7 linked regions of the Macaca mulatta genome follow. The protein of the gene in region 1 interacts with the protein of each later gene in a pairwise test. Links are inferred from orthologs where the notes say so. Each region holds a gene or a part of one and is shown on either strand. Other genes may lie near its edges. The genes, in order: RAB3IP, PPL, PLOD3, TRAPPC6A, RUFY1, NAA10 and BANP.

What was found.
Region 2: the proteins of RAB3IP (region 1) and PPL interact in binary tests that used the Homo sapiens proteins (3 or more experiments, as listed by UniProt). The two-hybrid records come from large-scale screens. The link is inferred for Macaca mulatta from reciprocal best matches to the Homo sapiens genes RAB3IP and PPL.
Region 3: the proteins of RAB3IP (region 1) and PLOD3 interact in binary tests that used the Homo sapiens proteins (3 or more experiments, as listed by UniProt). The link is inferred for Macaca mulatta from reciprocal best matches to the Homo sapiens genes RAB3IP and PLOD3.
Region 4: the proteins of RAB3IP (region 1) and TRAPPC6A interact in binary tests that used the Homo sapiens proteins (3 or more experiments, as listed by UniProt). The two-hybrid records come from large-scale screens. The link is inferred for Macaca mulatta from reciprocal best matches to the Homo sapiens genes RAB3IP and TRAPPC6A.
Region 5: the proteins of RAB3IP (region 1) and RUFY1 interact in binary tests that used the Homo sapiens proteins (3 or more experiments, as listed by UniProt). The two-hybrid records come from large-scale screens. The link is inferred for Macaca mulatta from reciprocal best matches to the Homo sapiens genes RAB3IP and RUFY1.
Region 6: the proteins of RAB3IP (region 1) and NAA10 interact in binary tests that used the Homo sapiens proteins (3 or more experiments, as listed by UniProt). The two-hybrid records come from large-scale screens. The link is inferred for Macaca mulatta from reciprocal best matches to the Homo sapiens genes RAB3IP and NAA10.
Region 7: the proteins of RAB3IP (region 1) and BANP interact in binary tests that used the Homo sapiens proteins (3 or more experiments, as listed by UniProt). The two-hybrid records come from large-scale screens. The link is inferred for Macaca mulatta from reciprocal best matches to the Homo sapiens genes RAB3IP and BANP.

What each region holds. Positions count from the first base shown.
Region 1 is NC_133416.1:76,885,427-76,889,445, forward strand, and holds part of RAB3IP (rab-3A-interacting protein), read left to right. Parts: intron 1-928; coding exon 929-1,204; intron 1,205-1,939; coding exon 1,940-2,198; intron 2,199-4,019. UniProt on the Homo sapiens protein: Guanine nucleotide exchange factor (GEF) which may activate RAB8A and RAB8B. Promotes the exchange of GDP to GTP, converting inactive GDP-bound Rab proteins into their active GTP-bound form.
Region 2 is NC_133425.1:6,203,818-6,208,553, forward strand, and holds the start of PPL (periplakin), read right to left. Parts: upstream 2,936-4,736; 5' UTR 2,552-2,935; coding exon 2,490-2,551; intron 1-2,489. UniProt on the Homo sapiens protein: Component of the cornified envelope of keratinocytes. May link the cornified envelope to desmosomes and intermediate filaments. May act as a localization signal in PKB/AKT-mediated signaling.
Region 3 is NC_133408.1:48,473,385-48,477,403, forward strand, and holds part of PLOD3 (multifunctional procollagen lysine hydroxylase and glycosyltransferase LH3), read right to left. Parts: intron 3,551-4,019; coding exon 3,409-3,550; intron 3,322-3,408; coding exon 3,208-3,321; exon of another isoform or gene 3,163-3,207; intron 3,066-3,162; exon of another isoform or gene 3,038-3,065; coding exon 2,969-3,037; exon of another isoform or gene 2,938-2,968; intron 1,686-2,937; exon of another isoform or gene 1,531-1,685; coding exon 1,426-1,530; exon of another isoform or gene 1,369-1,425; intron 531-1,368; exon of another isoform or gene 422-530; coding exon 275-421; exon of another isoform or gene 185-274; intron 1-184. UniProt on the Homo sapiens protein: Multifunctional enzyme that catalyzes a series of essential post-translational modifications on Lys residues in procollagen. Plays a redundant role in catalyzing the formation of hydroxylysine residues in -Xaa-Lys-Gly- sequences in collagens.
Region 4 is NC_133424.1:57,690,400-57,695,162, forward strand, and holds the start of TRAPPC6A (trafficking protein particle complex subunit 6A), read right to left. Parts: upstream 3,251-4,763; 5' UTR 3,232-3,250; coding exon 3,148-3,231; coding exon of another isoform or gene 3,106-3,147; intron 1-3,105. UniProt on the Homo sapiens protein: May play a role in vesicular transport during the biogenesis of melanosomes.
Region 5 is NC_133411.1:188,517,344-188,521,362, reverse strand, and holds part of RUFY1 (RUN and FYVE domain-containing protein 1), read right to left. Parts: intron 1,469-4,019; coding exon 1,367-1,468; intron 1-1,366. UniProt on the Homo sapiens protein: Activating adapter involved in cargo sorting from early/recycling endosomes. Regulates retrieval of proteins from endosomes to the trans-Golgi network through interaction with the dynein-dynactin complex.
Region 6 is NC_133426.1:160,175,349-160,178,523, reverse strand, and holds the end of NAA10 (N-alpha-acetyltransferase 10), read left to right. Parts: intron 1-162; coding exon 163-207; intron 208-1,455; coding exon 1,456-1,540; intron 1,541-2,080; coding exon 2,081-2,317; 3' UTR 2,318-2,383; downstream 2,384-3,175. UniProt on the Homo sapiens protein: Catalytic subunit of N-terminal acetyltransferase complexes which display alpha (N-terminal) acetyltransferase activity. Acetylates amino termini that are devoid of initiator methionine.
Region 7 is NC_133425.1:83,340,427-83,345,092, reverse strand, and holds the start of BANP (protein BANP), read right to left. Parts: upstream 3,249-4,666; 5' UTR 3,167-3,248; intron 2,478-3,166; 5' UTR 2,464-2,477; coding exon of another isoform or gene 2,443-2,463; 5' UTR 2,406-2,442; coding exon 2,385-2,405; exon of another isoform or gene 2,306-2,384; intron 1,287-2,305; exon of another isoform or gene 1,205-1,286; intron 1-1,204. UniProt on the Homo sapiens protein: Controls V(D)J recombination during T-cell development by repressing T-cell receptor (TCR) beta enhancer function. Binds to scaffold/matrix attachment region beta (S/MARbeta), an ATC-rich DNA sequence located upstream of the TCR beta enhancer.

The sequences.
Region 1 (4,019 bases):
ATTGTAAATACTTGAAAAATGCAGAGAGTAGATGTTGAGTGTTCTCATCACAAAATAATGGCATGAGGTAATGATTTGTTAATTAGCTAGTTAGCCATTTCACAGTGTGTATGTGCCTTCAAACATGTTGTACATGATAAATACAATGTTCTCTGTTAAAAAATTGTTTTAAGAGTTTCACAGCATAGTATAATTGTTATTGAATCTAAGATTGCATAATACTGTTAGATTTTGTTTTTAGTATTTTCATATTTAATGACAATTAAATTTTAATATAAATTTATTTTATATTAAAGAGATTTTATTTTATAAATAAATATATATAATAAATAAATTTTCTATAAATAAATATATATAAAATATGTTTTATATATTTTATAAAATATATATAATATATATTTTACATATAAAGAGAATTTATTTTAATATAAACATTTAATAATTTTAAAATATTTTTAAAAATTAAGTCAATTTTTATTCATTCCTCATACTAATTGATTATTCTCACTTTAACAGAATTGCTTATCACTTTCAGGTTTCTTCTAAATCAGATTGTTTGCCTTTTATAGTAGTTATACTCTGAGATCGCTTAGTAAATGTTAAGTGATTGTGGTGGTTTGTTTTTGTTTTTGTTTTTGTTTTTTGAGTGGACACAAGGTCTTGCCCTGTTACCTAGGCTGGAGTGTAGGGTTGTGATCACGGCTCACTGCAGCCTCCATTTGGGCTCAAGTAATCCTCCCACCTCATCTCCCAGAGCAGCTGGTACTACAGGCATATACCACCATGTAATAGTGGTTTTTTTAAAAGGCTCTTTTATTGTAAGCTTGTAATTTACAACGGACTGTTAAACACATTTTATAATTTATACATTTTAATTTAGTTTTAAATGTTATTTAAAAATAAGTATCTGATTTTTGTTTTAACATAGGTTATCTTATGATGAGGCTTTTGCTATGGCTAATGATCCCCTGGAAGGCTTCCATGAAGTAAACCTTGCTTCACCTACTTCTCCGGACCTTCTTGGTGTGTATGAATCGGGAACTCAAGAGCAGATTACCTCACCAAGTGTCATCTACCGGCCACACCCTTCAGCTTTATCCTCTGTACCTATCCAGGCAAATGCATTAGATGTTTCTGAACTTCCTACACAACCTGTGTATTCATCCCCCAGACGTTTAAATTGTGCGGAAATATCTAGTATCAGGTAGGAAATAAGTAAATCACTTATTTTGGATTATTTTTTTTAAATGGAAAGTTTGCTTAGTTACTGTATTTTAAGTTTTACTATTTTTAGAAAATTTGAATAACTTAAGTGTGCCTATGTAAAGAAATACATGATAATGTTCTAGAACAGGGTTGACAAACTTTTTATGTGAAGGACCAGATAGTATTTTAGGCTTTGCTAGCCATACAGTCTCTGTTGCAGCTATTCAACACTGCTTTTAGAGTTTGAAAGCAGCCATAGGCAGTATGTAAATGAATTAGAGTGGCTGTGTTCCAATAGAACTTCATATATGGATGCAGAATTTTGAATTTCACTTAATTTTCATTTGTCGCAAAATACTCTTAAAGATTTCTTTTCAACTATCTGAAATTGTAAAAACTGTACTTGGCTCATTGATGCCTTATAAAAACAGGTGGAAGGCTTCGTTTAGCCTGCAGGCTATAATTTGTTAACCCCTGCTCTTGAGTAGCACCGTCCTGTAGAACTTTCTCTGTTGATGAAAATGTTCTATTTTTTGTGCTATCTAATATGAATGATAGATATTAACCACATGTAGCTACTGAGCACTTGAAATGTGGCTATGACTGAGGACATACTATTTATTTAAATATGGAAGCTACCAAATTGGGTAGCACAGTTCTAGAGCTGTGTTTTAAGCCAGTTCTATTGGAGCATATGCTGATATTTTCTGAAAATTGTCTTTCTCCTTTACAGCTTTCATGTTACAGACCCAGCACCTTGTTCTACCTCTGGAGTCACAGCTGGATTAACTAAATTAACTACAAGAAAGGACAACTATAATGCAGAGAGAGAGTTTTTACAGGGTGCTACTATAACAGAGGCTTGCGATGGCAGTGATGATATTTTTGGGTTGAGTACTGATAGTCTGTCTCGTTTACGAAGCCCATCTGTTTTGGAAGTTAGAGAAAAGGGCTATGAACGATTAAAAGAAGAACTCGCAAAAGCTCAGAGGGTAAGAAAGAAGATATTTTATTCTTCCATATATTAGAAATTAGTATATCTCCATGGGGTGGGGCAACCTACAGAAATGAATTCATGACAGTTGTACATTTATCCTTCACATATGCCCAGCCTCAGCTCCTGTTAGGCAGCATTTAGGAATCCGTGAAATTGGTTGGGTAGTAAAGAAGTTCATTTAAGACTACTAACTGGAAAAATGTGGTTCTGTTAACTCTTCTGTGCCCCACTGCATTGCCTGCTCCCTGTCTTGTATTATCTGTAATGCAGATTGATTGGGCCATATTCCACATGCAGGGTTTTCCCTCCTTATTACATGGCTGACTAGATGGTTATTTACTTGAAGTCATTCAGTCTAAGTCATTTTGTTTTGAGGAGTTTAAGCTGAGTTTGAATATTTTCTGTATCTTACCTTGGATAATTTTCTTTTCTTGGTAAATTGTTGTGTTTCCCATTTGGTCATCTTTAAAGTTTCTGCTATTTATTTCCAAACTTATGGCCATATCTTATTCTTTTTCTGAGTCTGCAGTTAAATTTCAGAGGGAAATTTATAGAATGAAATGCATACATTAGAAAACAGGAAAAGTCTCAAATGGACAATCTAAGCTCCCGCTTTAAGAACCTATAAAAAGAAGAGCAAAGTAAAACCAGAGCAAGTAGAAGGAAGGAAATAATAAAGAGCAAAAATCAATGAAATTGATAACAGAAAAGATAGAGAAAATGAATGAGACAAAATGTTGGTTCTTCAAGAAGATTAATAAAATTGCAAACCTCTAGCAAGACTCACAAAAAGAAGACAGATTATCAGTAGCAGGAGTGAAATGTAGGATGTCGCTGGAGACTGAGATCAAAAGTATAATGGAATAATATGAAAAACTGCATATATAAACCTGACAAACTAGGTGAAATACCAATTCACATTTAGAAAATTGAGAAGGTAGGGCAAACATTTATAGGTGTAATTTCCAGCCTACTGTGACATTTCACAAACATATATTCCCACCCTTTCCCTAGCATACTTGTCTCTCATGAGCATAGTATATTCATTTTTTTAATCCCCAGTTCCTTCCCAAAGGAAAAGGATGTGGTGAGATGTGGTTGCATTTTGTTTCTGTCATCTGACTCAGACTTTGTTGTCTTAATAGACAGTATGTTAGTAAAATCACACATTATATAGAGGTAAAATTTTGAATGTATATATATCCATCTTTGAGAACATGTGGTTATTGATCAGAATAGATTGCTAATCTCTTAGCTCACTTGAGAATTTCTTTTGAAATCTCTAATTTGCTATGTTTAGAGATACTGTTGAGATAATTGAAATGTTGGTGTGTGAACACATATGTGGTGACTTTTATGAAGAGTGTAAGATAGTATTAATATTTACTTAGATCTCAAGGCTTGAAAAGGACTCTTGAATATAAAAATACTTCCTGAATTGTGACAACTTGTGAATCAAAACTATGTCAACAGCCATTTTCTTTAGTCCTATTATCTTGAGAGGCCATTTTCTATACTTTTCACTTACTTGGTTAACTATTTGTGTCTTCCTATTTAATACCCATTTCCTATAGATAGTGTATAGTTAGGTCTTGTTCTTTTGATCCTGTGTAATTATCTCTGTCTTTTAATTGGTGTTTAGACTATTTACATTTAATGGATAATGATATAGTTTGGTTTAAATTTAGCATCTTACTGTTTGTTTTCCATTTGTCTCATTTGTTCCTTTTTCCTTTTTGAATCCTTTCTTTTGAATTAATTCTATACTTTTAAAACAATTTCATCTTCCTGTGGCTTTTATCTTTGTTGTGTTAAT
Region 2 (4,736 bases), on another chromosome or scaffold:
CCAGGGTGGAGATGCCAGGATCAACAGTGAGACATTCTGCTCGCAGTGCTGGAGCTCCTACCTGCCCCACCACGCTGAATCTCACCAGCAACCTTGTCCTCCCCCAAACAATGGAGCGGGCCCTGGAAAACTCGGGGTGAAGGAATAACTTGGAGATCCACTTCCTGTGACCAGCGACCACAGCCTAGAGCCACAAGTCTGTCCCTTCCACCCCCAACCAAGACACGTGCTATGGGGTTAGCTGGGCATCAGGCAATGCTCGAGAGATGCATTTGAGAGAACTGGGTACAGGACTACCCCCACCCCACAATCTAGTCTAAGAACTAGTCCCCACTAAGGGGAGGGGGCAGAGGGATGCACTGGGCTTGGAGACCACCCGGGGAGGCATCTGACACCTGCTCAGAGCTGTGGCTGTGCTCATTCTGTGCTGGGGTGGCAAGGCTCAAAGGAATGGTCTTTCACCCCATGCTGAGGGACAGAATCAGGAGGGCTTCCTGGAGAAAGACACATCTAAGTGGAGACCTGGGACCAATGGCTGTCAGTCTAGGACAGACGGTGGCTGCTTTGGGTCAGGGATACAGAGAGTGGCGGGACCCCAAATCTTTGCCACCCCAGACCCTCTGAGTCCCTGCAGCTATAAAGGATGGGATGCCTTTCATCCTCACACTTTCAGGAAAGCCCGCACCCCTCCCAGCTTGTCTGGGTTCATTACAACCTTTTGTTAGGTCCAAGCTGAGGCCTTCAGGGATGGAAAGCTGCAGAAAGGAGGGAGGCTGGGGGGAGGCAGAGGGCAGGGGGAGGCAGAGGGCGGGGCGAGGCCTGGCCCCACTCCTGGTGTGTGGGTGTCTGCATGTGTGAAGGACTGGATGGGCCTAGTCTCTGGGGTGGAGAGGACAGAACGGTTCTCCACGGCTGGCACAGAGCATCCAATTGTGCAATGCCCTAGGGAACAGTGCAGGGACTGGACGGGCCCCCGGCTGGGTCCGAGTGCCAGCTGGACGCGGCCACGGAGGAGCGGCAGGCAGGCCCTGCCCAGTCTCTGGGGTTGTGAAAGATAGGGGAGGGGTGGGGAAATCTCTGAAGGGGGGAAATGCCTCTGAGCTTGAAAGGGCCCAAATGGAGATATGGGTGGGTGGGATCACAGGGCAGGGGGGCTTCTGAAAGGGCTGGAAGGCCAGGGAATGGAGTGTTGCACTCCAGCATGCCAGGGCCCCACCGCCTGCACCTGTCGGACTGGTCGGCCTAGGCCGGACTGCAGAGGTTGGGTGGGAGCCCTGGGCCCAGAAGCCTCTCCTTGCCTTCCTCTGGGGCCTAGGGAGGGAGTGAGGAGCTGCTGGAGGGCACATTGCAGGCTCCCAGTGAGAGCAGCTTGGGGGCAGAACTCCCAGCCAGGAGAGCCATGCAATTTGCGGGCCCCTCACCTGCCTGAAGCCTCTTGTCCAAGAAGCTGGCAAAATGGTCCTTGCTAACCCAGAGCCTCCATTCTATTTTCAGAAGTGGGGGCATAAAGCAGGGGCTGGATTCCCACCCCCTCCATCAATCTCAGCATCTCCACCAGGCTCCCCCAAACAGGTTATTAAGTGAACACATTAGGCTTATCAAAACGGACGTGGGCTGCTTCTCACTGCAAACACATCAAGACATGCCATTCCCCTCCCAGGCCGCCCTGGGAACCCGCGGCTCAGAGACACCGCCAGTTTCGGGGCTGGGGTGGGGGCAGGGAGCCACACCCCTGAGAAACCGAGCTTCGAAGAGGAGGCCCGGACGCCACCCAACCTCCGCTGAGAACCCAGAGGGTGGGGAGGTAAAGGGGGTGCCTGCCCGTGTGCCCCTCGACCCGACCCCGCACCCCCCAGGGCCTCTGAGCGCGGCTCTGGAGCGCAGGGTGGCAGATGCCGGGAAGTGCAGCGAGGGGTGGGCCACCCCCTTCGGACCCCCACCCCCTCGCCTCTCGGACGCCAGGAACACTTGCGAGGTCTCAGAGGCACTGGAGAGCACCCCTCCGACGCCGGCTCAATTTCCCTGCCTCAGGGCGCCCCCTGGACGGAGCTTCCTGGGTCGCCCACGGCGACCCCGCCTTAAGTGCCCGGTCCTCCAAAAACTCCGCCCCCGCATCCAGGTGTCTATTCCCGGTCCTGGGCGACCCTCTGCTCAAGAGCGACCCTGGGACACGGGGGTGCCCTGTACCCCCAGCTCAGCTGCCCATGCCCTAGGCCCTCAAGACAATGCTCCCTGGGCTCCCGGAGTCCCCGAAGTCCGCAATTATGCTCCCCCTCGGGTGCCCCAGCCAGTCCCCTCCCACCCGGCGGTGCTTCCCAGCTTCAGGGTGGCCTCGGTCCCACGTTCCCGTGAGTCTCGCACTCCCGGTTCAGTCCCCTGTTCCTGGGCCCCCGTGACCCCCATTCCTACACTGCCCGGGCGGTCTTCCCGGTCCTGTGCGCCCACAGGCGCAAGAGCGTCCCGGAACGGAGCTGCGGGCGCCTCCTCACCTCCGGGTCTGCACAGTGGGGCTGTATTTGCCTTTGTTTCTCTTCCTGAAGAGCGAGTTCATGGTGGCGCTCGGGGTGCGGGCGGTGGCGGCTGGCGGGCCGGGCGCGCACCGAGGGGCGGGAGGGAGCGCAGGTGAGCGAGCGGCGGCGCGCGGAGCTCCTAGTGCTGCGGGGCAGCGGCGCCGGGTCCCTACTCGCGGGGGGCGGGGCGCCCGACGGCCACTGGCTCTGCGGGCCGCTCCCCGAGAAGGTGGTGCTTACCTTCCCGAGGAGGGGCCACCGCGCGGGCGGGGCTTGGGCGCGGGGGTGGGGACACCGGGTCTTGGCCGGACACCGCCCACCCCCAGCCGGGGGACTCCGGAGGCCGGGCCGGCGCTGGGGCGCAAAGGCCGCCGGGGCGAGCGCTCGCAGCCCCACCCTCCCCGGGCCCGGCGCGCCTCTGGCCGAGGCCTTCACCTGGTTCTGCGCTGCCGCGGAACTCGGCGCTCCTGGTGCTTTGGCGGACACCCAGCTGGGCCCCGCAAGACAGGTGCGGCAGCGACCCGCACGGGTTCCTGTGCCCCAGTAGCTAGCGAATTGCACTCAGATGGTGGCAAGTGAGGGAAGGGGGCTGGACTGCGGAGGGCGCCGGCCTGAGTTCAAACCCTGCCACCCTCAGGTCGGCTGACACTCCTGGGCAAGGCGTTTTGCTGCTCCCAGCCACAGTTAACTTCTTTGTCAAACAGTGATCACCACCACCCGGTCCGAAAGGCCTGTGGGGATGTCCCTGCAGGTAATGCACGCAGGCGCTGAGCGCAGTGCCCTGGCCCGAATCTGCTCTCTGCCTGCCATCTCGGGTGGACAAAAACTACTTTGAAACTTCAATTACTCCAGGCCCTGGCACGAGAAGAGTGCTTCATAACTGGTCATAAAAGCTGCTCGATTCCGGCTCAGAACAACGTTGCACAATTCTGCCAGCATGTCCTGGCTTAGACTGTGTGCCAGTGGAGAAGGCTGCTCTTAGACAGAAACCCAATCTGACCTGAAGCCCGGATAGGGCCTCACAAGCAGGGAGGGTTCAGCGCCTCTGTGGAGGGTGGTGAGGGGCTGAGCCCAGCTGGGAAGGAGGAGCCCAGGGGAGACCCCAGAAGGCAGCGATCAAGATACTATGTTATGGCCAAAAGGCTATTAGAGCTCAGATGAGGAGTGTTCAGGTCTGCGGGGAGGGGCCTCCAACAGGGGGTCTGGAGTCCTGGGTTCAAATTCAGCTTTCTGAGTCTTCAGACCAGTCTCTTCCCCAGTTGTTTTGTATTTAAAAACAAGGAGGCTGGGCCAGGCACAGTGGCTCACAGCTATAATCCCAGCACTTTGGGAGGCCGAAGTGGGTGGATCATTTGAGGTCAGGAGTTCGAAACCAGCCTGGTCAACATAGTGAAACCCCGTCTCTACTAAAAATACAAAAATTACAGGGGCATGGTACTGTAATCCCAGCTGCTTGGGAGGCTGAGGCAAGAGAATCACTTGAACCTGGGAGGTGAAAATTGCAGTGAGCCGAGATCGCGCTACTGCACTCTGGCCTGGGCAACAAAGTAAGACCCTGTCTCAAAGTAAATAAAATAAAATAAAACAAAATAAAAAGTAGGAGGCTGATGGGGAATTCATTTCCAAGGGCTTTTCCTGCCCACAGCCCCAGAGTGTCTAAGGGCATCCAATGTCTTCCAGGCCATCTCTGTCCCTGCCACGGAAGGACTGTGGTTTCCAAATATTACAGGAAACTAGGAAAATATTATTATTATTTATTTTTGAGACAGGGTCTCTGTCACCCAGGCAGAAATGCAGTGCTGCCATCTTGGCTCACTGCAGCTCAACCTCCTGGGCTCAAGCGATCCTCCTGCCGCAGCCTCCTGAGGAGCTGGGACTACAGGCACATGCCACCACACCTGGCTAATTTTTAAAAATTTTTGTAGAGCTGGAGTTTCACCATGTTGCCCAGGCTGGTCTTGAACTCCTGAGCTCAAGTGATCTGCCCGCCTACAGCCTCCAGAAGTCCTGGGACTACAGATATGAGCCACTGCGCCCAGCCAACCTTATTGTTAATGGGACTTCTATGGGTGGGCTTAACCCATTTATGCCTGAGGTTGCAATTTTTTGAATTGATAAATCAGACCTTGGCGATGACCTTGAGCAATAGGAGATAAATAACTCCCATAGGCGTAGCATTCCAATAATGGAACACTAGGCATAAATGGTCAGGGGTGTGATTCCTCC
Region 3 (4,019 bases), on another chromosome or scaffold:
TGATGGTCCCTGCCCAGGGAGGGGAGGGGCGGCAGGATTCCTGCATGGGAGAGTCTCACTGCTCACTGGCATTAGATTAGGGCCAAGCCTTGCCCCAGGTCTCAGCCTGGCTCCCTCCCTCCCCTGGGCTGCCTCCTGTAGCATCTCATTTCCCTGGGAACTAAAGTGCATGGAGCCCAAATGCTGCGGGGGCCAAAAGGGGTCTCTGTGGAGACTTCCAGCCTGGGACTGGGGTGGGGAAGGTGGGGAGGCAGCGGGCAGATGGGCAGCGCACCTTGGTGTGGTAGCCGGGAAACAGGCTCTCGGTCATGGGGCCCACATACGTCCGCAGCAGCTGCAGCCATTGGTCCTCGTACCCCACCTGCTTCATGTGGATGTCCACAGTGGGCACATTCTCGTAGCCTCCAGCCAGCCTTGAATCCTGGGGGCGGTGGGCACTGAGCCACCCGCCCCTCCAGCCACGGTGCCCCCCCCCAAGGGGCAGTCCAGCCTCCTTCCTCCTGTGCCCCAGCCTTTACACCTGTGCTCCTCTGTGTGGAGCAGTCTTCTTTGCTACTTCTCAGCCTGACTCACTGCTCCCGGCCCTTCAAGTCTCAGCTAAGATGTCACCTGTCCTGTGAAGCCCCCTAGTCCTCCCAAGTCTGGGTCAAGGCTTCCCCGTGGCTTCCACAGTACCCAGGCTGCTCATCGCAGCCTTAGAAGCTGTGTGGCGGCTGCTGCTCACAGCAGGGCAGAGCTCGGCCGGCAAAAGGCATTCCTGCAGTGCAAGCTAGGACAGTGACCCAGAAACTTTCCTTTTTTCTTTTTTTAGAGACAGAGTCTTGCTCTGTCACCCAGGCTGGAGTGTTGCGGCATGATCATAGCTCACTGCAGCCTCTAACTCTGGGGCTCAAGTGATCCTTCTGCCTCAGCCTCCTGAATAGCTGGGACCACAGGCACATGCCACCATGCCTGGCTAATTTTGTGTTTTTAGTAGAGATGGGGTTTCTCCATGTTGATGAGGCTGGTCTCGAACTTCCGACTTCAGGAGATCCACCTGCCTCGGCCTCCCAAAGTGCTGGGGTTACAGGCGTGAGCCACCATGCCTGGCCCAAACCCAGCTAATTTTTAAATTTATTGTAGAGACAGGGTCTTGCTATGTTGCCCAGGCTGGCCTCAAACTCCCTGGCTCCAGCAATCCTCCTGCCTTGGCCTCCCAAAGTGCTAAGATTACAGGCATGAGCCACTGCGCCCAGCAGTAAATATTTCTTAAATACATGAATGAATGCAGTTGTGACCCCAGGGTCTGTCTCCCCCTTGGGGTTTTAGTAGAGAAAAAGGGAGTTCCCCCTCTTTGCTCCCATTTTCCTGATTCCATTGTTCCTTTACCAGATCCCGCACCTCCTCCTCCCAGGAGCCCTCTGCCTTCCTCACCCAGGCCCTTACCTCATGCCGGCCGCCTGACCACTGGCCGTAGTGCTCCATCTCCGCCACCAGCTCATCACACATTTGTTCTGACAGCAGTGGGAACCAGTACACGTCCGGGCATGGCTGAGGACGGGGCGGGGGAGAACAGGGCTAGCTGATGCCACAGAACGGGGAAGGGGACAGGCAGTGGGCAGAATGGGAAGGGGCAGGGAGGAGCAGGGAAGGCTCTGTGAGAGCAGCTGGGGACCTGCCAGGTAGGGCCTGGGGGAGTGGCAAGGCTGAGAGCCGGTATCTGGCACAGCAGAGGTGGCAGAGGGTCCTGGAGCCCCTTGTGCTGGGACAGGGGTTTCCAAACTTCCATAACAGTGCATCCCTTTTTTTTTTTTGAGATAGGGTATTGCTCTGTCACCCAGGCTGGAGTGCAGTGGCACAATCATAGCTCACTGCAGCCTCGACCTTCTGAGCTCAAGCGATCCTCCTGCCTCAGCCTCCCAAGTAGCTGGAACTACAGGCACATGTCACCATGCCAAGCTAATTTTTTCTTTTCTTTTTTTTTTGAGACAGGGTCTCGCTGCGTCACCCAGGATGGAGTGCAGTGGCATGATCTTGGCTCACTGCAACCTCCGCCTCCCAGGTTCAAGCGATTCTCCCACCTCAGCCTCCAGAGTAGCTGGGACTACAGGTGCGCGCCATCACATCTGGCTAATTTTTGGTTTTTTTTGTTTTTTTTTAGTAGAGACAGGGTTTTGCTATGTTCCCCAGGCTGGTCTCAAACTCCTGACCTCAAGTGATCCGCCTGCCTCGGCCTCTTGAAGTACTGGGATTACAGGCATAAGCACCACTCCTGGCCTAATTTTTTATTAAAAAAATTTTTTTTTGTACAGACAGATTCTCGCTATGTTGCCCAGGCTGGTCTTGGACTCTTGGCCTCAACCCATCTACCCACCTCGGCCTCCCAAAGTGCTGGGATTACAGGCATGAGCCACCGTGCCCGGCCCCATTCTTCTTTAAAGATGTGATTTCAGCCAGGCGCGGTGGCTCACGCCTGTAATCCCAGCACTTTAGGAGGCTGAGGTGGGCGGATCACCTGAGGTCAGGAGTTTGAGACCAGCCTGACCAACATGGTGAAACCCCATCTCCACTAAAATACAAAAATTAGCTGGGCATAGTGGCATGCGCCTGTAATCTCAGCTACTTGGGAGGCTGAGGCTGGAGAGTCGCTTGAACCTGGGAGGCGGAGGTTGCAGTGAGCCGAGATCATGCCATTGCACTCCAGCCTGGCAACAGAGCGAGACTGTCTCAAAAAACAAAACAAAAGAAAAAAAAAAAAACGATGTGATTTCATTCGTAACACCAATATACCCAATACACAGGAGAGGAGAGGCCATCTGATCAATGCCAGGTTTGGGATCAAGAGTCCTATCTGCTCGGCCTTTGCCTTCATCTTGCCTGAACAGAAAACCCTCAGGCCCCTGGGGAACTCAGTGTGAAAACTTTGAATCCAGGTGGGGGCCCCCAAGAGGTGATGGCCATGAGGGCGGTGGGGGCTGCACGGGCTCACCTGCTCCACGATTCCCTCCCCTTCGAGGGCCCGGCTGTAGTTCTCGTGGATGTACTGCTCCTTCCAGTCCTGCGGGAGGGTGGGGGGTACAGCAGATCTGTGGCCCCCTCACTCCCAGCCCTCAGGGGACCGCCCCCTCCCGCTCAGCATCCTGCGCTGGCAGCAGCCATCACGTTTGGCGTCTTCCTTAGCACAGGGCGGGGAACCTGTGTGCTCTGGGCGCGGGGGGTCCTACTCACGACGGGGTTGTCGAAGATCTGCCAGAGGTCGGGGTGCAGGTGCTCCGTGTCGTATCGGGAAGTGGCCAGGAGCCGGCCAAATTCATGCTGATTGCTCAGATGGAGGAAGATGCCCTGTAGTGGGGTGGGGGTGTCCATGATGCAGGCCATGCCCACAGTCCGGGATGCTGCCCCCAGGCCACACCACGCACCCGCGCTCACCTTGTCTCGAAAGCTCTTACAGAAGGCCATGTCCGGGTCCGTGTCACTGCCTGAGAACACGTCCCTCTGGGGCAGCTCCGTCCGCAGCGTATCCCCCCGGATCACATAGGCCTGCGAGATGTATGGCACGTTCCACACGCCCCTGGAGGCACCGACAACCGTGGTCAGCTGGGAGGGCGGCCCCCCAAATTCTGCCCAGCTCATCCCGGGAAGTCCTTCTTCCCTTAGAGTATCGCAGTCCCTGAACATAAGGCTCCTGCATGTCCCTTGTCAAGCACTGCTTGTCACAACCGCCCCATCTCCCAAAACGCAGTCAGTCCCTACCCCAAGCTGTGGCACTTTTTTGTTTCTTGTTTTTGGCTTTTGAGACGGAGTCTTGCTCTGTCACCCAGGCTGCAGTGCCGTGGTGTGATCTTGGCTCACTGCAACCTCTGCCTCCCAGATTCAAGCAATTCTCCCACCTTAGCCTCCCAAATAGCTGGGATTGCAGGTGCCCACCACCATGCCCAGCTAATTTTTGTATTTTTTGTAGAGATGGGGTTTCACCATGTTGGCCAGGCTGGTCTTGAACTCCTGACCTCAAGTGATCCGCCTGCCTTGGCCTCCCAAAG
Region 4 (4,763 bases), on another chromosome or scaffold:
AGATCACGAGGTCAGGAGATTGAAACCATCCTGGCTAACATGGTGAAACCCCGTCTCTACTAAAAATACAAAAACAAAAAAAAAAACCACACAATTAGCCAGGAGTGGTGGCAGGCACCTGTAGTCCCAACTACTCGGGAGGCTGAGGCGGGAGAATGGCGTGAACCCATGAGGTGGAGCTTGCAGTGAACCAAGATTGCGCCAGCCAGCCTGGGCAATAGAGCGAGACTCTGTCTCAAAAATAAATAAAAAAATAAAAATAAAAATAAAAAAATAAAAATTTTAGAGGTGGGGTCTTGCTATGTTGCCCAGGCTAGTCTTGAACACTGGGCCTCAAGTGATCCTCCCACCTCTGCCTCCTGAGTACCTGGGATTACAGGTGCAAGTGCCACAGCTGGCTAAATGCATTTTTGATTTATGATTTTTTCTGTTATGTTTTTTTTTTTGAGACAGGGTCTCACTCTGTCGCCCAGGCTGGAGTGCAGTGGCCGGATCTCCGCTCACTGCAAGCTCCGTCTCGCAGGTTTACACCATTCTCCTGCCTCAGCCTCCCAAGTAGCTGAGACTACAGGCGCCCACCACCTCGCCTGGCTAGTTTTTTGTATTTTTTCAGTAGAGACGGGGTTTCACCGTGTTAGCCAGGATGGTCTCGATTTCCTGACCTCGTGATCCGCCCGTCTCGGCCTCCCAAAGTGCTGGGATTACAGGCTTGAGTCACCGCGCCAGGTTGATTTATGTTTTCAACTTATGACAGGTTTATATCTGTATGTCGAGATGGTAACAAGCAACATCCTCCCTGGGGCTTCTTATCCTAGAAGGAAACCAGAGCCAATAAAAATGTCTTACATGGCCGGGCACAGTGGCTCATGCCTGTAATCCTAGCACTTTGGGAGGCCCAGACGGGCGGACCACGAGGTCAGGAGATCGAGACCATCCTGGCTAACACAGTGAAACCCTGTCTCTACTAAAAAAAAAAAAAAAAAAATTAGCCAGGGGTGGTGGTGGGTGCCTGCAGTCCCAGCTACTCGGGAGGCTGAGGCAGGAGAATGGTGTGAACCCGGGAAGCGGAGCTTGCAGTGAGCTGAGATCCGGCCACTGCACTCCAGCCTGGGCGACAGAGCGAGATTCCGTCTCAAAAAAAAAAAAAAAAAAAAAAATTAGCTACGCATGAGCCTTTGAGGCGGACGATGCAGGGAGCCAACACTGCGACACTACACTCCAGCATGGGTGACAGAGTGAGATCCCCCATCTCAAAAACAAAACAAGGACGGGCACGGTGGCTCATGCCTGTAATCCCAGCATTCTGGGAGGCCAAGGCAGGCAGATCGCCTGAGGTCAGGAGTTCAAGACCAGCTTGACCAACATGGAGAAATCCCATCTCTACTAAACACACAAAATTGGCTGGGCGTGGTGGCACATGCCTGTAATCCCAGCTACTCTGGAGGCAGAGGCAGGAGAATCGCTTGAACCCAGGAGGCGGAGGCTGTGGTGAGCCAAGATTGTGCCATTGCACTCCAGCCTGGGCAACAAGAGCGAAACTCCGTCTCAAAAACAAAAACAAAGACAAAAGGCCATGTGCCCTAGCTCATGCCTATAATCCCAGCACTTTGGGAGGCCAAGGCACATGCATCACCTGGGGTCGGGTGTTCTGAGACCAGCCTGGCCAATGTGGCAAAACCCCATTTCTACTAAAAATACAAAAATTAGCCAGTAGTGGTGGTGCCAGCTGCGCTTGTGGTCCCAGCTACCTGGGAGGCTGAGAAGTGGGATGATTGCTTGAACCTAGGAGGTCGAGGTAGCAGTGAGCCATGATTGCATCACTGCACTCCAGGCAGCCTGGACGACCGATCAGGACCCTGTCATGCATGCACACACACACACTCCCAGGCCAGTCGTGGTAGTTCACGCTTGTAATCCCAGCACTTTGGGAGGCCCAGGCGGAAGAATCACTTGAGTCTAGGGGTTCAAGACCAGCCTGGGCAACATGGCAAAACCCCATCTCTCTTTTTTTTTTTTTTCCTGAGACGAGTCTCGCTCTGTTGCCCAGGCTGGAGTGCAATGGCACAATCTTGGCTCACTGCAACCTCCGCCTCCCAGATTCAAGCCATTCTCCTGTCTCAGACTCCAGAGTAGCTGGGATTACAGGTACCCGCCATCATGCTCGGCTAATTTTTGTAGAGACAGGGTTTCACCATGTTGGCCAGGCTGGTCTTGAACTCCTGACCTCAGGTGATCCAACCGCCTCGGCCTCCCAAAGTGCTGGGATTACAGGCGTGAGCCACAGCACCCAGCCGGCATATTTCAGTTTGTTATTTGACTCCCCAGTGAAATGTAAGCCTCACGAGGACGGGGATTCTGTCTTAGAACAGTGCCTGGAATACAACAGACACTCAATAAGTGGGTGTGGAATGAATAAATGTCCCATGCTGAGGCTCAGGTACGTTATGATGCTCATTTTACAAAAGAGAAAATTAGGACACACAAAGATTAAGTCATTGGGTCGCACACCTTGTGAATGCCGAGTACTCAGCACACGCCCAATAACAGCATTATTTTATATATATATATATATATTTTTTTTTTTTTTTTTTTTTTTTTGAGACGGAGTCTCGCGCTGTCACCCAGGCTGGAGTGCAGTGGCCGGATCTCAGCTCACTCCAAGCTCCGCCTCCCGGGTTCACGCCATTCTCCTGCCTCAGCCTCCCGAGTAGCTGGGACTACAGGCGCCCGCCACCTCGCCCGGCTAGTTTTTTGTATTTTTTAGTAGAGACGGGGTTTCACCGTGTTAACCAGGATGGTCTCGATCTCCCGACCTCGTGATCCGCCCGTCTCGGCCTCCCAAAGTGCTGGGATTACAGGCTTGAGTCACCGCGCCCGGCCAATAACAGCATTATTATGATTACTTGCCGCTTACTCAGGCCGTGAGCTAAGTGCTTTACCCTGAGTCATCTCGCTCAATTTAGCAATAACCCCAAGCCGGCACCTTCGCGAACCCCACTTTCCAGAGGAGGAAGCCAGCGCCAGATGTTGCCCTGCAAGGCCGGGGCTGGGTCGGGGTTCGAACCCGGACGTCTGACAGCCCCTCCGCTCTCCCCGAGGCGTTACCGTGGTGGCCCCCACTTCCTCCCCACGGGACCCGGCGCTCACCCCCGGACCGGGGTCGGGGTCGTGAGCCCACAGCTCCGCCACCATCTCCGTGTGAAGAAACTCGAACAGCACAGTGTCCGCCATGAGCCCTCCTCGCGCGCCTAAAGATGCGCCCAGCGCTTCCCGCTCTCATTGGCCAGGCTTGGTAAGCCACGCCTCTCAAGTCACGGCGCGAGCCCTCCTACTCCCGCTTCCGCTGGTGTTTTAGACTAGCCCCGCCTCCCCACCTCCGGCTCAGGTGGTGTGCGCGTGAGCCTGGGATACTAGGGGGCGGGCCTACTCCTCCTCTGGCCGCACGTGACAACATCTTCTGCCCTTGCTGCCGTCCCTTCCCTATTTCCGGGTTCTTGAGCATTCCTATTGGCCAAATTACTGGTTACACGTGACATACTCGGCTTTTAAAATCCCTATTTGTCCATTCCAGACTTTCCTCGTCGCACAACCTGGAAAAGCCGGCCCAGCCGCTTCTCTATTGGCGGTTCCTCCATTCATGTGATCTTCTGCACACTCCCTCAAAGCTGATGTTGAGAACTTGCATCGTGATTGGTAGTCGAGCGAATCCACGTGACTTGGCCGCTAATGCCCGCCCAACCCGCTCCCCTATTGGTCGAGATCGCAGCCCTTCAGCTGCCACGGTGAGGACTCGGCACTCGGGCAAGGAAGAGGATCCCGCAGGCTCGGAGCGTTAGCTACCGGGTACGGTCTTTGGCGATAGCGCTTCCCCCATCCCATGAGTGCCCCCAGCGGAGTCCAATCGGACTGTCATCCTTTCTGCGACTCTGGCACTGGTCCCGAGCAGCTCAAGGGCCCGAGTGCTTCCGGGTCTGAGATTGGCATGGTGGACCAAGTGGAGGGTGTGGCCGCTACTAGGAGGCAAATTCGTAAAGAGTTCGGCTTGGGACTCCGGGAACTCGGGCCCCAGATCCCTAATGGAGCTGGTCTTCAGTTTCCCCATCTGTACGCTGAAGGGCCTGGGGTCCAGTAACCCTCATCATCACCCAGTTTACAGAAGAGGAAACTGAGGCCCAGGCAGGGGGAGCAACTGACCCCAAGTCGTTAAGAGAATCAGCGAAGGGGCTGGGAATCCAGGACCTGCGCCTTTTACCCACCGCGGCGCCCGTCTCACGTGCAGTCCCTTCGCTTTTCTGCCCTAGCTCGGCGCCATGGCGTCCCAGGGTCGTCGGCGGAGGCCCCTGCGGAGGCCGGAGACGGTGGTGCCTGGGGAGGCGACCGAGACGGATTCCGAGCCCTCTGTGTCCTCGTCGGAGGAAGAGGAGCTGTACCTGGGTCCCTCGGGCCCGACGCGCGGCCGCCCCACGGGGCTGAGGGTGGCTGGGGAGGCCGCAGAGACCGACTCGGACCCGGAGCCGGAGCCGGAGCCAACGGCCGCGCCGAGGGACCTGCCTCCGCTCGTGGTGCAGCGGGAATTGGCGGAGGAGACCTGGGGCGCGGAAGAGGCCCCGGCGCCCGCCCCTGCGCGCTCGCTCCTGCAGCTTCGGCTGGCGGAGAGCCAGGCGCGGCTGGACCACGACGTGGCGGCCGCGGTGAGCGGTGTTTACCGCCGTGCGGGCCGCGACGTGGCCGCCCTGGCTGGTAGGCTGGCGGCAGCCCAGGCG
Region 5 (4,019 bases), on another chromosome or scaffold:
GTATCCCACAAATATGTATAATTTTGTATCGATTATAAAAAAATTAATTGAAAAAGAATTAGTTCATTACAACAAAATCTGTAACTCAAACTTACTCAGTGTAACTGTACTCAGAGTACGTGAAATACTGTAAATCAGTATTTGTCGTGTAAAGCTAAGTTCAATAATGAGCCATGCCTTGAAAACACTGAAAAGCTTGGGTTTTATAGGCTATGCTGTAAAATACGTTTCTCAATTACAAGAGAGCTTTAACTCTGGAAAGAGTCCTCCCTCATAAATCACCATAGTCTAGAGAAAATTCCTTTTATAATGATGTTTGCTTAGTTATAAATATCAAAAATGAACCAGTCGTAAATTTCCATAAATATTGTATACTTATTTTATTTTTTTATTTTGAGACAGAGTCTCGCTCTGTTGCCCAGGCTGGAGGTACAGTGGTGTGATTGGCTCACTGCAACCTCTGCTTCCTGGGTTCAAGCAATCCTCCTGCCTCAGCCTCCCGAGTAGCTGGGATTATAGGCATATGCCACCATGCCCAGCTAATTTCGGATTTTTAGCAGAGATGGGGTTTTACCATGTTATCCAGGTTGTTTCTGAACTTCTGACCTCAAGTGATCAGCCTGCCTTGGCCTCCCAAAGTGCTGGGATTACAGGCATGAGCCACCACGCTTGGCTGATACACTTATTTTAATTCAAAATGATCTACAGAACTATGTTCTAATTATTATTTTTTTGAGGAGGAATCTCACTCTGTCACCCAGGCTGGAGTGCAATGGCGCAATCTTGGCTCACTGCAAATTCTGCCTCCCAGGTTCACGTGATTCTCCTGCCTCAGCCTCCTGAGTAGCTGGGATTATAGGCATGCATCACTACGCCCAGCTAATTTTTGTATTTTTAGTAGAGACACAGTTTCACCATGTTGGCCAGGCTGGTCTTGAACTCCTGACCTTGTGATCTGCCCACCTCGGCTTCCCAAAGTGCTGGGTTTACAGGCGTGATCCACTGCGCTCGGCCTATTATTATTTATTTTTAGATGGAATCTTCCTCTGTCGTCCAGGCTGGAGTGCAGTGGCGCAATGTTGGCTGTCTGCAACCTCCGCCTCCTGGGTTCAAGCGATTCTCCTGCCTCAGCCTTCTGAGTAGCTGGGGTTACAGGCACCTGCCACCATGTCTGGCTAATTTTTGTATTTTTAGTAGAGACGGGATTTCACCATGTTGGCCATGGTGGTCTTAAACTCCGGAACTCAAGCAATCCACCTGCCTTGGCCTCCCAAAGTGCTGGGATTACAGGCATGAGCCACCACACCCGGCCTATGTTCTAATTATTTACCAAGCAAAAGATAAGCAAACCTAGTTGATGAAATACCTTAAGAGATGTTTATTGTCTATAAGCACTTTCAGATAATCTGCCAGTTTCTTTTGCATGAGTGCAAGATAAAGCCAAGCTCGGCCTCTTCCCACAGCTGTCCTAGAATTCAAACAGAGCATCAAACTATTGTGACATCACAACAACAAACACAGAAAAGAAACCTGAATTACCTAGGGAGATACACAGGAAACACACTCTTATAAATGCAGAGGACACTCTACAAATGGCTGTTTGGGGTTGGGGAGGGAGGCACGTGGCCTGGGCAGGCATCGAAAATGGCTCACCACACACCTTTGAGTACTATTACAAATACAGTTAGATAATGCTTTGCTTATAGTCATAAAATATCACAGGAAAATATCAGGTTAGATTTGTGTAATAGATAAACATTCTTTCAAAAGACTAATAGAGAACTTAGTGCTTGCTAAAGTGCTAAAGCTTGTAAAATCTCCAAGGGGTTAGCTCAAAGGTACAATTTTTTTTTTTTCTGAGATAGTCTTGCTCTGTCGCCCAGGCTGGAGTGCAGTGGTGCAATCTCAGCTCACTGCAACCTCCACCTCTTGGGTTCAAGCAATTCTCGTGGCTCAGCCTCCCGAGCAGCTGGGATTAAGGCACGTGTCACCACGCCTGGCTAATTTTTGTGTTTTCAGTAGAGACAGGGCTTTGTCATGTTAGCCAGGCTGGTCTCAAATTCCTGGCCTTAAGTGATCAGACTGCCTTGGCCTCCCAAAGTGCTGGGATTACAGGCATGAGCCACTGCACCTGGCCTTAAAGGTACAATTTTATGTTTTATTATTGTGGTAAAATACACAGAACATAAAATTTACCATCTTAACCATTTTTAATCTTACAGTTAAGTAGTGTGAAGTACATTCACAATGTTGTGGAACCAATTTTTTTTTTTTTTTTTCCGAGATGGAGTCTCACTCTGTCACCCAGGTTGGAGTGCAGTGGCACAATCCTGGCTCACCATTGTGATCTCAGCTCATTGCATCCTCTACCTCAAGGGATCAAGCAATTCTCCTGCCTTAGCCTCCCGAGTAGCTAGGATTACAGGCACCTGCCACCACGCCCAGCTAATTCTTGTATTTTTAGTAGAGATGGGGTTTCTACCATCTACCATGTTGGCCAGGCTAGTCTCGAACGCCTGACCTCAAGTGATCCGCCCACCTTGGCCTCCCAAAGTGCTGGGATTACAGGCATGAGGCACTGTGCCCAGCCCCAGTCTTGAAGGTGTAATTTTTCTGTATTCTAGCATTATCTCCAGAGAAGCAGAAAAGAAAGAAGAGGAAAAAAAAAGAAAAGAAAGAAAGAACAGGCCTGCATTAAACATTAAAAGAATAAAGGCTTCTCAAGTGCTGCTTGGTGAGACTGTAAACTTTACAACTTCCTTTTTCTTTTTGGAGATAGGGTCTTGCTCAGTCGTCCATGTTGCTGAGCAATGGCATGATCATGGCTCCCTGCAGCCTGGAACTCCCAGGCTCAAGTGATAATCCTGTGTCAAGCCTCTGGAGTAGCTGAGACACGTGCTACTACACCCAACTAATGGTTTTTTTTTTTTTTTTTTTTTTTTTTGTAGAGATGGGGTTTTGCCATGTTGTCCAGGCTGGTTTCAAACTCCTGGGCTCAAGCATTCTTCCCGCCTCAGCCTCTCAAAGTGTTGGGATTACAGGCGTGAGTCACTGTGCCTGGTCAACTGTACAACTTTCTAGTGGCAATTTGATGACAACAGGTTACCAAAATTTTACATTTAGTAATACATCCTAGAGAAATAACTGAAGATGGACACAAAGATGTATGTTTCGGGGCGGTCACCACATCATTATCACGGTTTGTGGTAACAAGAATTTGAAGACAGCCACAAGGGGGGTTAAACAAAATTATATATACAACAGAATACGACTTGGCCATTTAAAAAATATATTGTAGGCCAGGCGCGGTGGCTCACGCCTGTAATCCCAGCACTTTGGGAGGCCGAGGGAGGTGGATCACCAGAGGTCAAGAGTTTGAGACTAGCCTGGCCAATATGGTAAAAGTCCATCTCAACAAAAAATGCAAAACATAGCTGGGGGTGGTGGCTCATGCCTGTAATCCCAGCTACTCAGGAAGCTGAGGCACGAGAATCACTTGAACCCGGGAGGTAAAGGCTGCAGTGGGCCGAGACTGCACCACTGCACTCCAGCCTGGCAGATAGAGTGAGACTCTGTCTCAAAAAAAAAAAAAAAAAAAAAAAAAAAAAGAAACCTAGAAAGTATTAAAAGGCATATACTTGTCTCCTTGTCCTCCACCTCCCCACCCGCCTTCCCTATACATTAATATAGTGTCCTTTAAGTTCATTTCCAAAACATGTCTCTACACATGAAAACTAGTACCAAATATATTCTCTCCCTTTTTACAAAAAAATTTAACGTTTTACATGCAGTTCTCAACCTACTTATTTTGCTGAGTATCCGTCATCTTGAAAATCTTGCCGGGCGCGGTGGCTCAAGCCTGTAATCCCAGCACTTTGGGAGGCCGAGACGGGCGGATCACAAGGTCAGGAGATTGAGACCATCCTCGCTAACACGGTGAAACCCCGTCTCTACTAAAAAATGCAAAAAAACTAGCCGGGCGAGGTGGCGGGCGCCTGTAGTCCCAGCTACTTGGGAGG
Region 6 (3,175 bases), on another chromosome or scaffold:
AGATATTGCCTTGACGGGGGTCCTGGGGTACCTCGGCTTTTGGTGAAGATCCAGGAAGTGGGATTGGGGTGAAGGAGGGACCAAGAGGAGGGGCAGGCACTGGACGTGCTACCCCTCCCTGGCCATGTCCGTGCAGCTCAGCAGTGCCTTGTTCCCCTGCAGTAACCGGGCCGCCCTGCACCTCTATTCCAACACCCTCAACTTTCAGTAAGTAGATCTCGAGTTTTCTCGTGGGCTGGGGTTGGCCCCAGGTCTGGCCCATCAGGGCACCTGAGACCGGCTGAGTTGCCTTCCAGGCTAGGGGTGGGCCGGATGTGGGGAGGACGCTGTGGACCCCAGTGCTGCCAGGATGCCTCCACATTCACTCGGTGGCTGATGGTTGAAAAGCCGGCATGGAGACAGCACCTGCCTGCTGAAACGTGCTCCGTGTGTGTTGTGATGGAGGAGCTCTGGCCCATGCTGGCAGAGGCTGGTGAAGGGCACACGGGCTGTTTAGTAATGTTTGGGAATAAAGAGGTGTGGGTCCCTGGCGTGAGCAGATCATAGCATGGCCAAGCACCTGGAAGAATCCAAGAGAGAGCAGAATCAAGGAGAATGCACGTTCAGGAAGGAAGGACCGGCGGCCAGGCAACCTAGTGGATGGGGCAGGTCTGCCTGAGGACCGGGAGGCCCCGTGTGCCTAGCACAGGAGAGAGGACCTGGCAGTTAGCATGCCCAGTAGACAGTGGAAAAAAGTGCTTGCAAGTGAAGCTGGGGTGGGCTGCCCGTGGAGGGACACTAACTGCAGTCAGCCCCTGTTTGGCAGGGGTGAAGAGGAGGGACTGTTGGGAAGGGCAGTGGCCTCTGGGCTGGATGCTGGCAAGAGGGATCTGTGACCCAGATGAGGATGTCTGGTGGGAACTGCTTTATAGCTAAGTCAACAATCCTCATGTCTTAGGCCTGGCAGGGCCAGCCTAGGCCATTGAGTCCAGCTCCCCTTCCAGGGACATGGCCACCCGAGTCTGCACACATGCCTCCCCAGTGCAGGCATGGCCCCTGAGCTGCTCAGGCAGGGCCCGTGCTGCCTAGGGATGACTCCCCTAAACAGAGCTCACTGTCTTTCCTGGGTTCTGATGGCTGTTGTGAGGCAGCTCAGTAAGGGACAGGACGCAGGGCAGGGAGGGAAGGGGAAGGCTGAATTCAGGAATTCAGCTCACAAGAAACCACAGAAATGAATCCTTAGTAGCCAGGCTAAGGACACAGAACGGGGGCAGGACAGGGGTGGGGCGGGCCGCTGTTTCCTGGAGCCTTTGCTGGAGAGAACAGAGGGCAGGTCACACTGGACTTGCTGTCTCAGGAAGGAGCCCTTCAGGGAGAAAACACGGCATCTTGCTCCAGTAGCCATGATACTAGGAGTGGAGGAGGGTGTCCCCCAGGTATGGGTCTTCCTCCTTGCTCTCTACCCTCTGCCCCCAGGATCAGTGAAGTGGAGCCCAAATACTATGCAGATGGGGAGGACGCCTATGCCATGAAGCGAGACCTCACTCAGATGGCCGACGAGGTAAGAGCCTGCATGAAGCCAAGCCAGGCAAGCGGGGGTGGCATTGGGGAGCCCCGAGACAGTGGCTGGAGGTGCGACCAACTTTGAATGCCAGCCCTTGTGGCTATGTTGCCAGGAGTCACAACCTCAGTTTCCTAGGTTGGGCTTTAGAGGAGGCCGTCTGCCTAGCAGCCTGGAGGGTGATGGGAGAGGCAGAGGGAGGAGGCTTTTAGAAGGGAAGTGGGGAGGCCTGGGGACCAGTGGGTGGCCTGCCTGCTCAGAGGTAGTTCTGAGTCAGGGTTCTGCCCCAGGCTCCTTGGGTGGCAGGGCTGGTCAAGGGGCAACGCTGTGTCGTGGGGGCCTCCATGGTAGTCAGTGAGCCCAGGTAGCAGTGGACTGGGGCTCCAGCCAGGTGTCCCCACTCAGTCCCACGTGTCCTGCCTAGCCCTGCTGCCTCACTATGCCCCTCTCCTCAGCCAGCGACAGGGCCAGGCTCCCTTTGTCTGGAAACTTAGGCCCCATCTCTTTACCTCCTGCTTCTCCCTGGGTTCCTGGTGGCAGCTGAGGCGGCACCTGGAGCTGAAGGAGAAGGGCAGGCATGTGGTGCTGGGTGCCATCGAGAACAAGGTGGAGAGCAAAGGCAATTCACCTCCGAGCTCAGGAGAGGCCTGTCGCGAGGAGAAGGGCCTGGCTGCCGAGGATAGTGGTGGGGACAGCAAGGACCTCAGCGAGGTCAGCGAGACCACAGAGAGCACAGATGTCAAGGACAGCTCAGAGGCCTCCGACTCGGCCTCCTAGAGCCTGCCCCATCCCTTCCTCACCCCACGAGCTTTCACAATAAATTCGCTCCGTGGCACTGGGGAACTTCGTGTGTGTGCGTGTGCACATTTAGAGGGTGTGTTTCTCCAGGTCCTCTGGTGGGGAGGTGAGCCTCAGCCTTTTGACCCAGAGCATCCTGCCAGTCCGAATAGAAGGGAAGAGCTTTGGAGGTGGGACTCCCCAGTCTCATGGCCTTCAGCAGCTGTGGCCCCGGGAAGGAGGCCCTGGGCTTAGGGAGAGACCCTGCCTTGGAGGTCTGCTTGGCCACGCTGAATGTGTTTTGTGGCATAAGCCTGGGCCGCTTAGGCTCAAAGCTCAACAGCAGGGCTCCCACTCTTGGTAGCCTTCAGTTCTCCTCCCATCTTCACCTTCAGACCTTTTCTCTCCCTAATCACACCTGCTTTGGGCTACAGCAGCTCTGCGGCATAGCCGTGGGCTCCAGATGTGGACATCTGACTGCTCATTGGGCTTATCTACAGCTGTCCTGAGTATAATGACCCAGCCAGACGCCCTGTCAACGGTCCTTGAGTCCTCCCTTCCCTGCCACCCTAATGGTCAGTGAGTCCATGATACCTCTTGAGTCTACTCCCTGAGTTTGCATTTGAAAATAATTTATTTTTAGTACAATTCCCCCCGTTTGCCCTATTGACATTTTGTATTAGTTGGTGTATTTGTTATTGTTGATGAGCTAATACTGATAAGTTATTGTAAACTATAGCCCATGGTTTACATTAGGTTTCCTGTCTGTGTTGTACAGTTTCTATGGGGTTACACAAATACATAAAGCCATTTATTCCCTCAAAATAATTTCATGCAGAATACAAAACTGGGTGGCTG
Region 7 (4,666 bases), on another chromosome or scaffold:
AGCCCTGCGGACAGGCCAAACCTGCACCTGCCAAGTCGGTCCCGCACAGGAGAGCGAACTCCCCCACGGCCAGCAAAGGGGCTCCCAAAGAAGCGGAGCAGCCCAGAGAAAGTATCTGCAAGTTGGCGCTCCAGGTCCCACAGTACAGGCTCCCAATCACCCGAGGGAAAACTGGACTCTTTCAAAAGCACCCCACAGACCCGGGGCTCTCCGCCAGCCTCCTCCTGCCTCAGACAACAGTAAATATCAGTATTTGAGGAGGACTTGCCATACAGAGCAAAAAGCCAACACTCTTTTTTAAGTGACATTAGTGGAAACAAGAAATCAGAACAAAGAGGAACTGGAAAGAATCCTTATTAGTTTCCCTAGAGTCATGGAGATGAGGCATTTGTAAAACAATAAGCTACTGTGAAAAAGGAACAAGACAAATACATGCTTGGAAATTAAAAATTTGATTGTGAAGACATATGAAAGCCCTCTCCCAGAAATGAGAATAAACAAGACACAGAAGGAAGGATAAAGATGCAACTCCAGGGGTCCATCTAGAACGTCCATCACAAACAGGAACTCCTAAGACAGAAGAGCAGAGCTGGAGAGGAAGAACTTCTCAGACAGAACAAGGCAACTCCCCAGAGCTGAAGGACAAGGCACCAGAGTCAAAGAGTCCCCGGAGTAGGAATCCACACACCTCAGCACACGGTAAAATGTCATTAACACCAAAGAGAGGATCCAAGAGCGTTCAGGGAGGGAGAAGGGTCTCCACAGAGGAAGAGCACCTGCCAGAGCGTCCTGTGGAAATGAACAAAGCCGAGATGAAAACATTTCTGAACGCACCCAGCCGCAAGAAGTATCAGGTGGGCTCGTCTGCAGGCTAAAGAATAACCCATCCAGATGAGAAAAAGGTTAGGGGCTGAAGGAGGAAGGGGACCTGACACTATCCTTGAGATCATTTAAAACAATGCAAGGAGTCGATGGGAACAGAAAGTGCCAAGAGAAAAGCCATGACTAACAGAAAAAAAACATGCTGTACAGGAAGGGAAACACTCAATTTGTGAAGAGAACAGTATTTACATAGGCCTGACACACACAGTCCAGGGGATAGAAGAGGTGGGATATGACAGAAGGGCTCCATCACCCCATCGTAACAGAAAGTCAAGGCTGTGTAAAACCAAGTAGCAGCTTAGAACTAGGTGCAGTCACTCACACTTGTATTAACGGCTACTAAGGAAGCTGAGGATCACTTGAGCTCAGGAGTTCAAGTACGGCCTGGCCAACATCTGGGGATCCTATCTCAAGAAAAAAATGAAAAAGATCAGCTTACTTAGAGCTATAAAGAATGACCTAAAGAAACCACTCAAGATGTAAACCTCTTTGAAGAATGGGGCTGAGAGGTGGGGCAGGGGACCACTGCTTTTCATTGTAAGTCTTTCACTGATGTTCCTATTGTACACATTATATTAATTAAAATACTAAATATATAGGCTTCAAATAGACTGAATTTGAACCCTGGCTCTGTACATCTGAGCAAGTCCCTTAGTGTCTGCGGGCCTGGCCACCTCATCTATAAAGTGGGGGCAGCCTCTGCCTCCCGGGTCATGGTGAAGCACCCGAGATGTTGAGCTGCCCCCAAGCAGCGTGGATCACAAATGGATGCTCTTTTTTAAAAAGATTAAAGCCCCAGCCTGGGCAACAAGCGAAACCCCCTCTAAAATACAAAAATACAAAAATTAGCCAGGGGTGGTGGTGCCTGTGGTCCCAGCTACTCGGGAGGCTGCGGTGGGAGGATCACTTGAGCCAGGGAGGCCGAGGCTGCAGTGAGCCAAGATCACCACACTGCATTCCAGCCCCGGGGACAGAGTGAAACCCTATCTCCAAAAAATAAAAATACTAAAGCCAATGATGACAGAATCCAACATCGCAAGAATATATTCTTATTTTAATTGCCAGACACGGGAAGTGGACCTACACACAGAATTTTACCGCGTTTTGGTGTTTTCTTCTAGCACAGGATATTTATTTGCGAGCTGCGTGTTAAATGACCAGATCCAGTTTTTCTTTGCTGTTTCCTGAGCTTACTCAGAACCACTCACTACTCCAAGTTATTTTTCTGTCCCCCAAGAACTTCCAGCTAAAAGTGGCCCCTACGACTGCCTCCTCTTATTATTTACTATAGTTCTGCCATCGCCATCAGGCCCTGGAGTACGTTCCTGGGCAGAACAGGCAACTCCAAACAGGGCAATTATCTGTTCCACATCAACAACTGCGTGACCCGCGCCCTCCCCGGTCAGGGTGCAAGCTCGCTACCCTTCAAAGCCCACACTCGCTCCACTTGCTCACAGTTCTTCAGGGATGATGTATTTCTCCAATAGCAAGGCAACCCCTACCATCTCATCAGTGAAAAACATCAGTCCTCTATCAAGGTACTCTCTCCAATTTGCTCACACAGTGTGGATGGAATGTCATCTACTTTCTGCATCCTAGGGGGAAAAAAAAAAAAACGGCCACCTTTCTTAAGGACTAGATCACAGAAATCGCACAAACGTGCTGGGGAGGGGGCACCCCGAAGTCCTCGTTCATCGGGGCCCCTAGGGGGACGGGCTGGGGTCCTCGCCGGGGTCGGCGGTCGCCCCGGGATCGTCCCTTCCGCTGCCTCGCCAGAGACTTGCATGTGCGAGTCCCGGGCTATGGGGCTCCAGTCCACAGCCACGGAGGAGGCACAAAAACGGTGCCTGTCGCTCCCGGCTGGCTAGCAGGAGCGACCCCTTGGGAGACTCGGTCCCCAGAGGAGCCTGGGCGCGGTTCTAGGCCCTTCCAGTCTCCCCGCCGTGGCCCCGGGTCCTTCCCGCGGGGCTAGGCCCGGGGCAGAGGTCGGGAGCGCGAGGCCCCCGGGCCGGGCTGCGGCAGCCGCGGCTCAACGGACGCCGGGGCGCGGCGGGGCCGGGGGTGCGGAAGCGAGGAAGCGGGAGCCCCTCTTCCGGGGCGCGGCCGGGGACGGGGAGCGGGGCCTGGGGGGCGCTCGCCCGGCCCGGGCGGTTGGAGGCGGCGGGGCTGCGGCGCGGGCGGCCCGGCGGGCGGGAGGAGGAGGGAGGAGGGAGATCTCGCTCTCGCTCTCGCCCCGCGGGAAGGGGGAGGCGGAGGCGCGACCGGCTGCGGGAGCTGCAATTACCGTGTGGGCTGCGGAATTCTCGTGGTGTTTGTCGGGGAGATGCGATAATGGCGTCCGTCCTCGCGAGAGAAGCCGCCGCTCTGCGCAGGCGCCGCGAGCCCCTCCCCGCGACGCTCTGCCCCCGCCCTCTGCGCAGGCTCACCGGGCGCGCGGGGCCGGGGGCGGGGCTGGGGCGAGGCCCCTTGCGGGCAGCGAGGCCAGCTGCGCGCGCTTTTCCCGCTCGGCCTCCTGGTGAGCATGCGCAGGCGGCCTTCTTCCGCGATGGTACCGGCTTCCCAGGGTTTTTTCCCCCCGTTTTTCGCCCACGCACGTGGCCTGCCTGAGAAAAATCACCTCAGTGGACGGTGTGAGGAATTTGCATCTTCTTTGAGACGGAATGAATAGGCATTAGCTCCCTCAACGACTACACCTCCCAGGGTGCCCTGCGCAAGCGGGGAGCCATGCATTCGGGGACTCGTAGTCCCTTCGTCTGGGCCATGCCTGCCGGGACTTGTAGTGTCTCCGGACTCCGGTCGTCCGTCTTGTCCCCGCACCAAGGGTTGCTGGGACTTGTAGTTACAATGTCTCAGGTGGGCTGTGCGCCCCCAGCGGGTCCTGCCTGCTGCTGCGGCGGATCCTGCCCTGAGGTTCCGGAGCGCTTGGTGGCGTTTTCCCAGACATAAGTGGTCAGGGGTCCCCAGCGTCTGTCCGGAGGGGCCTGAGTGCACGCGCGCGGGAGTTAGCACGCACAGCAGTGACCATGGTCTTAGATATGTCCTACAGCTAACACATAATATAAATAAGTGATGGCGGCCGGGCACAGTGGCTCACGCCAGTAATCCCAGCCCTCTGGGAGGCCGAGGTGGGCGGATCACCTGAGGTGGAGGTTCGAGACCAGCGTGGCCAACATGGCGAAACCCCCCTCTCTACTAAAAGTACAAAAATTATGCCTGGCCTGGTGGCGCGCACCTTGTAATCCCAACTACTCGGGAGGCTGAGGCAGGAGAATCGCTTGAGCCCGGGAGTCGGAGGTTGCCGTGAGCCGAGATCGCGCCCCTGCACTCCAGTCTGGCGACGGAGCGAGACTCTGTCTCTAAAAAAATAAAAAAGTGATGGCGTGAATGTGCGCACGTTATCGTTTATGTAGAATAAATGTGCATTTGTGGGTAATCATAGGAAAAAATTCCCAAACTATAGGGCAATTCCCAGAAATGTCATTTCTGGTTATCTCCCTCTGCTTATCTAGAATTACCTTGCCTTTCATTTTCCTCTTTATACTCCTGTTTTCTGAATTATTTGCAATGAGCAAGAATGCCTTTGATCTCCCAAGCACAGGGCAAGAGAACTATTTTCACTGGGAAAAACAAAATGCTTTACCTTGAATTTCCTGCCCAGCTCCCTTTTGCCAATAATAATAACAGGATTCGGTGCAGTCATGGGCTATGCGACCTTGGGCAACCTTACCGAGTTAGTCTCCTCTAGAATTAGGCTCGGAGGTTCCCCTGAGGCCGGTGGCTGGGT